Linked DNA regions of Nothobranchius furzeri. The protein of the gene in region 1 interacts with the protein of each later gene in a biochemical or structural test. Links are inferred from orthologs where the notes say so. Each region holds a gene or a part of one and is shown on either strand. Other genes may lie near its edges.

Region 1 (3,819 bases):
TGACCCAGATATTCACACCCATGCTGAGAAAGGCTTAGTGCAGACAGATGTAGCCAAGTATGTCTGCTCGCACATGAAAAAGCAAATGCACAAACACAGACACATGGATATTTCTCCTCTCGCATCGTTTTCCACTCACTCAGTGGCAGGATAACCGATGGTTCCAGTATATCAAGACTGCATATCATTTGTCCAATTAGTTCTATTTTTACGCTTGTGCACATCTTTTAAGGGTTTTTAAGAGTATTCTTTACCTCTGTCTTCTGTGTCCCCCTAGTCTTGCACAATGCAAGCTAATAAAATGCAAAGTAATTCACACGGAACATACTGGCGGAAACCATTTTTAGTATTATGTAAGACTTGAATAATGGAAAAGTCTGTGTCCACTGAGCCCTGACCAATATCCTTCTGTCCACCAGCTTCCTGACAAATGCCGTGCAAGCTTGGAATTGGCCAAGAGCACAACTTTTCCAGTTATAACTGTTTCCAGATTATACCATTTCATTTTGTTTTCAGACCAGACTTTCTAGCACTAGAACGCAGTTAAAAAGTCTTTTTCTTAAATAATAAAGTAAATTTAGATTGTGTTAGTGCTGAAATAATGTTTCTAATATATTTGATTGACTGTAAAAACTCTTCTCCCATCAGCTGTATGTCTCATCAGAGAGCCGTTTCAACACATTAGCAGAGCTGGTGCACCACCACTCCACCGTGCAGGATGGACTCATCACCACTCTGCATTACCCAGCAGCAAAACGCAACAAGCCCACCATCTATGGAGTTTCTCCCAACTATGACAAGTGGGAGATGGAGCGCACTGACATCACCATGAAGCACAAACTGGGAGGGGGCCAGTATGGGGAGGTCTACGAAGGTGTCTGGAAGAAATACAACCTCACTGTGGCTGTCAAGACACTTAAGGTATGAACAAAGGACGGGAGTTAATGTAGCTGTGCCCGGTGGAAACATTGTGAATCTGACTAAATAATGCTGCCATCTGCTGCAACAAAGAAGCAACTGCACCCAGTTTACAGTTTTTTTTCTTTTGGTCAAATCTGCAGGAAGACACAATGGAGGTGGAGGAGTTTCTCAAAGAGGCTGCTGTTATGAAAGAAATCAAACACCCTAACCTTGTGCAGCTGTTGGGTATGTTCTAAATACATGTGCATATGAAAAATTCTCCAAATGTCTCACTAGATTCATTCAACACGGCTGTAACCTTTCATGAAATCTGATTAAGGAGGCATCAAAGTCTAACTTTGTTTTCGTTTTTTATACACGTTGCTGGCAGGTGTGTGCACACGAGAGCCGCCGTTCTACATTATTACAGAGTTCATGACCCACGGAAACCTGCTGGACTACCTAAGAGAGTGCAACAGAGAAGAGGTCAATGCCGTGGTGCTGCTGTACATGGCCACTCAGATCTCTTCTGCCATGGAGTACCTGGAGAAGAAAAACTTCATACACAGGTGGCTAAATTCAATTATAGAACAACTGAAGGGTCATTGATGCTGCAACATCCGTGTGTAGATGGTATTTCACATATCTTTATCCTACTAATGGCAGTGAGTTACCATTACCGTTACCTACAGTGTCAGTGTGTTACATAGAGTCCTATTAAAGGGATACTAAGCAGTTTTGCTTGCTTTTAGCACCCCCTTGTGTCAGTTTACTCTCCTCCTCGCTTTGCGTTCATCTTTTTAACACTTCAATCTACCAGCTGAAACGTCTGCCAGCGGTCCTAAGTGTCTACAGGAGTGATTCATCACTAAATTAAACAAATCAGCTGGGTTCATGATCTAAAACATGCAGGAAACATGATGGAAGCAGACTGCTGCGTCAGGTACCTCAGCTCATTTTTTTCTAAAGTCTAATTCATACTTCTGCATCAGCTCCACAAGGGAGAGACACGCACGCACAGACGGAGACTGTTTGCTTTCATACTTTCCGTTTGCTGGGAAGTGTCACAAAGCAATTCCCCGCCAAGACAACAGAGGGCGTAGCGCTGTTCTGGGGTATCCTTGTGTTAGTTTTATTTCATACTTTTACACGGGCAAATTTGTCCGTCGTTCTCCTCCACCTCTTCATGCACTCACCACCTCTAAACCCATGTTTCCCGTCATTTCCGTCCACAAATTAAACACTTGCTGCGCATCTTTTCACTCCTCCAGTCACGGGGGAATAAAACGTTCATATTTTTAGAGTTTTTCCACAAAGTCTTCTTCAAGCTTCTCTGTGTCTGCCGCTCGATATCCTCGGCTCTCTTTGTTTTTGAGGGCGCAGTGGTGGGGTTGTAGACGACAGCAGCGTCCTAACCAATCACAAGCTTGCGTTCTCCGTCTCGTCGAACAGATGTTTAGAAAAAAGCTCAACTCCGCCTGTCCTTACGAGGGATCTCCAGCAGGCTTGCGAGGATGGATAATGACGTTGCGTGTCTCCGTCCCGGCGCAGACGAAGTCTAAATTAGACTTTAGTCCCAGCAGACCGGACCAGCAGCTGTGATGTTGCAAGTACAATATTCTGGCCACAGGGGGCAATAGGGGCTGGGTGGCCTTTCATTAATCCTGTAAAGGGTCATTTTAGCACATACTGGCAGAGGAAAATGATTTAAAAATATGAAAAAGTTGCAAATTGTCCCTTTAACTAGTCTTTATCCTCAGGGACTTGGCTGCCCGCAACTGTTTGGTGGGTGAAAACCACCTGGTGAAGGTTGCAGACTTTGGTCTGAGTCGCCTAATGACTGGAGATACGTACACCGCTCATGCTGGTGCCAAGTTCCCCATCAAGTGGACTGCTCCAGAGAGTTTGGCCTACAACACATTCTCTAATAAATCTGATGTTTGGGGTAGGTTTTCTTATTTTTTTATTCCCCTATTACATTATCTAACTCTTCCTGTAAACTCTTTATTTTTGTCTCTTGATTAGCATTTGGTGTGCTGCTGTGGGAGATTGCCACCTACGGCATGTCTCCTTACCCTGGCATAGACCTGTCACAAGTCTATGAGCTGCTGCAAAGAGACTACCGCATGGAACGACCTGAAGGCTGTCCAGAGAAGGTCTACGAGCTCATGACAGCTTGTGAGTACAAAAATCCAGCCATTTTCTTTTCTTCAGGACATGTTTTGATGCATATTCCACTTTTCCTGTCAGGTTGGAGGTGGAACCCTGTGGAACGGCCAACTTTTGCTGAAACACACCAAGCCTTTGAGACCATGTTCCAGGAATCCAGCATCTCTGATGGTCAGTGCTGCTTCTTATCATCAGAAAAACAATTAGTGTTGAATTATAGATATCCTAATTAAAAGAAACGAATCACAGTGGTATTTGAAAATGTTAACACATGATCTGTGTAATTACAGAGGTTGAGAAGGAGCTGGGGAAAAAGGGGAAGAAGACAACATTAGGCTCCACCCAGCAGGCTCCAGAGCTGCCCACCAAGACCAGACCTTTCCGCAGAAACACGGAAAACAGGGACAGAGACAGTCCAGGTGGGATGCACGTCACGTTCTCTGGTTGCTTGTCTTCTTTATGGTTGATTTATCTTTTTAGTTCTGGTTGGGCTTCAAGGTGTTGGACTTATTTCCACTTTCGGAACTTCTGGGTAATTTTTTACCAGACCTTCACAGTTTTTTTGCGTTGCTCCATTTTACTGGGCCGAGCCGAAAGGACTGCTTTCTAAGCCATTCAGTGGGAAATAATTCTATCGGTAGACGTCACCAAACAGCTGGTATTTAGAAATTGGAAGGGTTTCTGGTGAAGCAGAATGGAAGAAAAAGAAAATAAGCCGCGTTGGTACTGCTTTAAAGTTGCTGTTTCTAG
Region 2 (4,517 bases), on another chromosome or scaffold:
AACATTCATAATAATATTATTAATGTGTGAGTATACTGATAAACAAATCATTATAAAAATTCAACAAAAATACAAATCTGGTGTAATTTTAGATCTGAAATTAATCATAGGAATAAACATTCATGTTAACCCATCATTCATTACTGTACAGCATTATTAAAACACTTTAGATTTAAAAGCATATTGTAGGTACCACAGAATATGATTGTAACAACCTGTCAAGTAAAGATTTTATGAGCCAAAAAAGCAAACTTTATTAAAAGGATTAGATCAAAAGTCTTGTGTCCTCAGAGGGCTCTTGGTGTCTTGTGAATAAGTTAAGGATACTGTTCAAGTTACTCATATCGAAGAAATTTATAAAGGATTGTGATTATGTTTACAAATAAGTTTATAAGTGTTTAGTAAGTTATTAAATGACCATTTACAAGGTATTAGGTACTATATATATAATTTATTACAAATAATCAATATTTAAGCATTTACAAATGCTTTAGAATTATTTATAACCCTAAAAACAACAGTTAAACTATACATTGTACATTTATCGGGTAACACTTTACAATAAGGGTCCTTTATTAACGTAATGTGCATTATTAGTATTATTAATAAGCTATTAAATAAAGCATTAACAACGGCTTCATATTAATGTTAATAAAAAGTAATGCAATACTTAGTGAGAAAATATCTGCCTCTGACACGTTTATATTGCCTAATAAAACAGAAATTAAAAAATATGTGAATTCTTTTTTTATTGCGAGATTCCGGCTGCTTTGGTGTGTTTTCTGTCTGTCAATGATTTCTTTTCAGTAAATTTCTTGTCTCAGATCATTCGTAGCTTCTGCTTATTTAGACAAACAAGCACTCAAACGTTCAAACAGGAATTTCTTTAATTAGTTTTATATATAACATCTATATATGTTTTGAGAACTGTGGTGGAAATGTTTCACCGAACTTGTGAATTACACAATAAAGAGATAGAACTTATGTGTTTTCATATTATTTATTACCAAAGGCATAAATAGTGTTTGGGTCTCGCTCTATGAAGATCACAGAATGAGCCCAGAACCAAGGATTACAGTCCAACAAGACACAGGCACATGATGACAAAAGCAAAGTACAAGAACTTTTCATAATTCTGCCCACCTCCCTATATCTTCCTCTTTTAACAGACGCAGCACAATGGCAGAATGCCTGCAACTATAAAAACAACCTTGAGTGAACCTGCACTGCAGACAATAATAAACCATGATGTCAAAACAGTGCACGGCATACATAATTTTCATCCCAGAACTTATTCCTTTCATTAATTCACTGTTTTGTTTTCAGGATATTTTTTTACTTTAAAATAAAGATTACTAAACATAAAAATTATATTTGCAGAGTTGTAATACCACCTGTTCTTTCAGAGCCTAGCTCAAATGAACCGGACATGTGAACACACGTTGGTTTATTCAATCTATCATGCTTTTTAATCTTTTTATCAGGAGAATTTCGGAAGGCTTTGAGTTTTTGTTTGGTATTTTGGGCCTTCGTGCGTGCCGTATGAAAACAAACTACGTCAGTTTGGAGCGAAACTTTTCGAAAGCGTTTGGCACGATGGGCAGCTATTTGACTTGCACTCTGGCTAAAATAACCTGTTATATCTCACTAGTAGTACCTTAAAGAAGCTTTGAACGACGACACTATAAGCAGACGAGGAAAAATGGACGGGCTTGAAATGTCTGCGATGATTCCTGCTCTTCAAGAGCTAGCTAGGTGAGTAGTGTTAGCCAAAAGCTAAGTGGCTAATCGTTTGTTTGTTACTGAGGCTTCACTTTATTTCTTTAACTATCACTCTTTTTATAAGTTACATCGTTTATCTGTTTGCAGTGCCAGCGCTGCTGAGTACGAAACAGCCGTGCAGAAACCTCGACAGATCCTCTGCCAGTTTATTGACAGGATACTGACTGACGTGGACGTCGGTAAGTCATTACTAACGGGGGACAAAAACCGAACCAACAGAGACCATTCAGCGCCAAATAAAAGCTCGTTTTCCTTTATTTTTCCTTTAGATCTTATAAGGTTATTAGTTTTAATAATAATTTTAGCACGTGCTCTTAGGTGGGGAGTGACCCTTGTACCTGAACAGGTATTAAACAATTTTTGATAAACCTAATGGAAACAAGTAAATAAAAAATGCATCGCATACATAAACCAAATGTTTTACAAACTGTTAACTTTATAGTGGTCATTTATTCATTCATTTAAAAAGCAAGTAAGAAAAGAAAGAAAAAAAGAAAATTATCTTTTACTTAGCGCCTCTCAAGATAAAAATCTTGAGGCCTTTCACAAGAACAAAAAAATTCAGAATGCCAAAAATCGTGAAAATATGGTTAAAATTAGAAGAAGAAAAAAGTTTAGAATTGTGATTAAAAGTGCAAGGAAAGGGAAAGAGAAAATGAATAGGAAAGAGGGGAATCAGTGGATAATTTGGCACCTTAGTCCATCTTAATTAAAGTTGTAATATTCTGCCTAAAACTCCGTGTTGCTTCCTCTTCAGGTAAAAACTGCACTGCATTTGAATTTACATCTGCCGTTGCTATTGGTTAAGAGGTACCCTATGACATTAGCTGGTATATTATGATATCACAACGCTGCTGTGTGTGTGTGTGTGTGTGTGTGTGTGTGTGTGTGTGTGTGTGTGTGTGTGTGTGTGTGTGTGTGTTAGAGGCTCTGCCCTTTCGGTCTGCCAGGCCTGTCCTTGTGGTGCACTTTTCAAACAGGAAATGGGAGAGGAGTTAGACTCTGGTAGGGGGTTACTTGCTCTTTAGTCAAGTACTGGTTGTAAGGGTTGAAAACCATATTTGTCTGTATATTCTGGTCATTTTTGTTTTTTACATCTTGGAACACAACCTGCAAAACTATCAGTCAAAAATCTTCAGAAGTAAAAATAAACCCACATCATGTCAGTTATGTACCTATGTTAAGAGAGTAACATCTGATTGTCATTTTGTTTTTTTAGATGTGTGTGTTTATTTTCTAAAATCCTTTTGTAATTTTTTTCTAATATCACTCAGAGATGTTTCTGATTTCCAGACTTGTTAAACACAGCCCTCTTCTCTTTTTTTAAGTTGCTTTAGGACTAAATAAAAAGTCCAGTTCAGAGCCAGCATGTGTGATGCTGCTTGACTTTGTGCAGCACATCGTCAAATCCTCGTCCCTGATGTTTGCAAATCCTGCCTGCCAACCTGCTGATTACCCAGACACCGTACAGAGCTGCACTGGTACTAAACGACACATTGTTGAAAAGTTTCACACATTATGAAGAAGCCAAAAACATAACATTGTCTTTTTCTTCATATTCTGCCTTGATTTCAGATTTCAGTAAATGGGTGATGCTGCATTTGCTTCGTGTGGCAGCAGCTCCAGGCTGTGATGTCATTCACGGGCGCGTCTCTGCCGTATTGTGCTCTTTACTACACACTCTAAGAGTCAGGATGCCGTTCATCTTCAGCTGCCTCACCGAAGAAGTCATATCATTGACCCAGGAGCTTAGCAGCATCCTGCACACTCACATAGTGACACTGGCAGGACCTGGACACAGTGTGGGTGCACACATCCAGGACAGATGGCCTGTGAAGCTTCAATGCTTCAGCATCAGTTCCATTCGTGCCTCCGTCTACCTCACCCCTACTCTCCTTCTACTCTCCTCTCCTGCTGCCTTGGAGTCGCTGACTGCTGTGACTCTCAGTATCACAAGTGACTCTCTGAGAGGAATCATTTCCTGTCGGGACCTGAGTTTGTCTTGGGACACGGCATGCTCCATCTTGGCTAACGGCAACACCAGGCTGAGGAAGGTCTCCATGGTGTTGCTGAGGAAACTGGTAGAGCTGCAGAGGTTTCCCGAGATGCAGTGTCACAAATTTTTCACGGCCTTTTTTCATTTGCTGGAAACGCACTCCGACACATCCGCAGCAAAACACTCAAACGAGAGCCAACCCTATGGAGGAGAGCTGATCAACTTAACCCGCTGTTTGTTTCAGTCGTCCCACATTTCTCCCTCTGACTTTGAGTCCATCTACCTCTCACAGATGTTTGAGTGTGTCTGTGCTCTTGGAGGGGCAGGAGTTAAACTGGGGTCAGAAGTTACTGAATCTGTTTGCCTGCTGTTCCGTTTTTTACTGTCTGTGGCTGAGATTCATGAGAGTGCTGTGCTGCTGAGGAAGCAGAGGGTCACAGATGTCTGCAGAACCTTGGCAGCCACCATTGGGACAGAAAATCAAGCAGAAGTATGAATCTGTTCATTATTGTTAAATTTTTTAAGTTTTATTTATTTATTATTCCTTCTACCACCTCACTGCTTGGGGTTTCCAGTGTGCAGAAGGGTTTCTTCAAGCCGCACTGAAATCTGAGACAGCGACAGTGATGCAGGAGTCGGGAGATGGAGAGAGTTCTGCTAAGAAGTCCCGCAAATCTGCCGTTAGTCCAGTCAGCAAGGCAGCGTGAGTCAAACATGAGTAAGAAGTTTAACTTTGTCA

The links.
Region 2: of the proteins of abl1 (region 1) and atr, one has a biochemical effect on the other in vitro, tested with the Homo sapiens proteins (2 studies listed by BioGRID, with this or other methods). The link is inferred for Nothobranchius furzeri from reciprocal best matches to the Homo sapiens genes ABL1 and ATR.

The regions. Positions count from the first base shown.
Region 1 is NC_091746.1:53,702,856-53,706,674, forward strand, and holds part of abl1 (tyrosine-protein kinase ABL1), read left to right. Parts: intron 1-648; coding exon 649-921; intron 922-1,061; coding exon 1,062-1,146; intron 1,147-1,291; coding exon 1,292-1,469; intron 1,470-2,660; coding exon 2,661-2,845; intron 2,846-2,925; coding exon 2,926-3,078; intron 3,079-3,150; coding exon 3,151-3,240; intron 3,241-3,359; coding exon 3,360-3,488; intron 3,489-3,819. UniProt on the Homo sapiens protein: Non-receptor tyrosine-protein kinase that plays a role in many key processes linked to cell growth and survival such as cytoskeleton remodeling in response to extracellular stimuli, cell motility and adhesion, receptor endocytosis, autophagy, DNA damage response and apoptosis.
Region 2 is NC_091758.1:22,151,614-22,156,130, forward strand, and holds the start of atr (serine/threonine-protein kinase ATR), read left to right. Parts: upstream 1-1,550; 5' UTR 1,551-1,702; coding exon 1,703-1,755; intron 1,756-1,869; coding exon 1,870-1,961; intron 1,962-3,110; coding exon 3,111-3,263; intron 3,264-3,357; coding exon 3,358-4,268; intron 4,269-4,353; coding exon 4,354-4,481; intron 4,482-4,517. UniProt on the Homo sapiens protein: Serine/threonine protein kinase which activates checkpoint signaling upon genotoxic stresses such as ionizing radiation (IR), ultraviolet light (UV), or DNA replication stalling, thereby acting as a DNA damage sensor.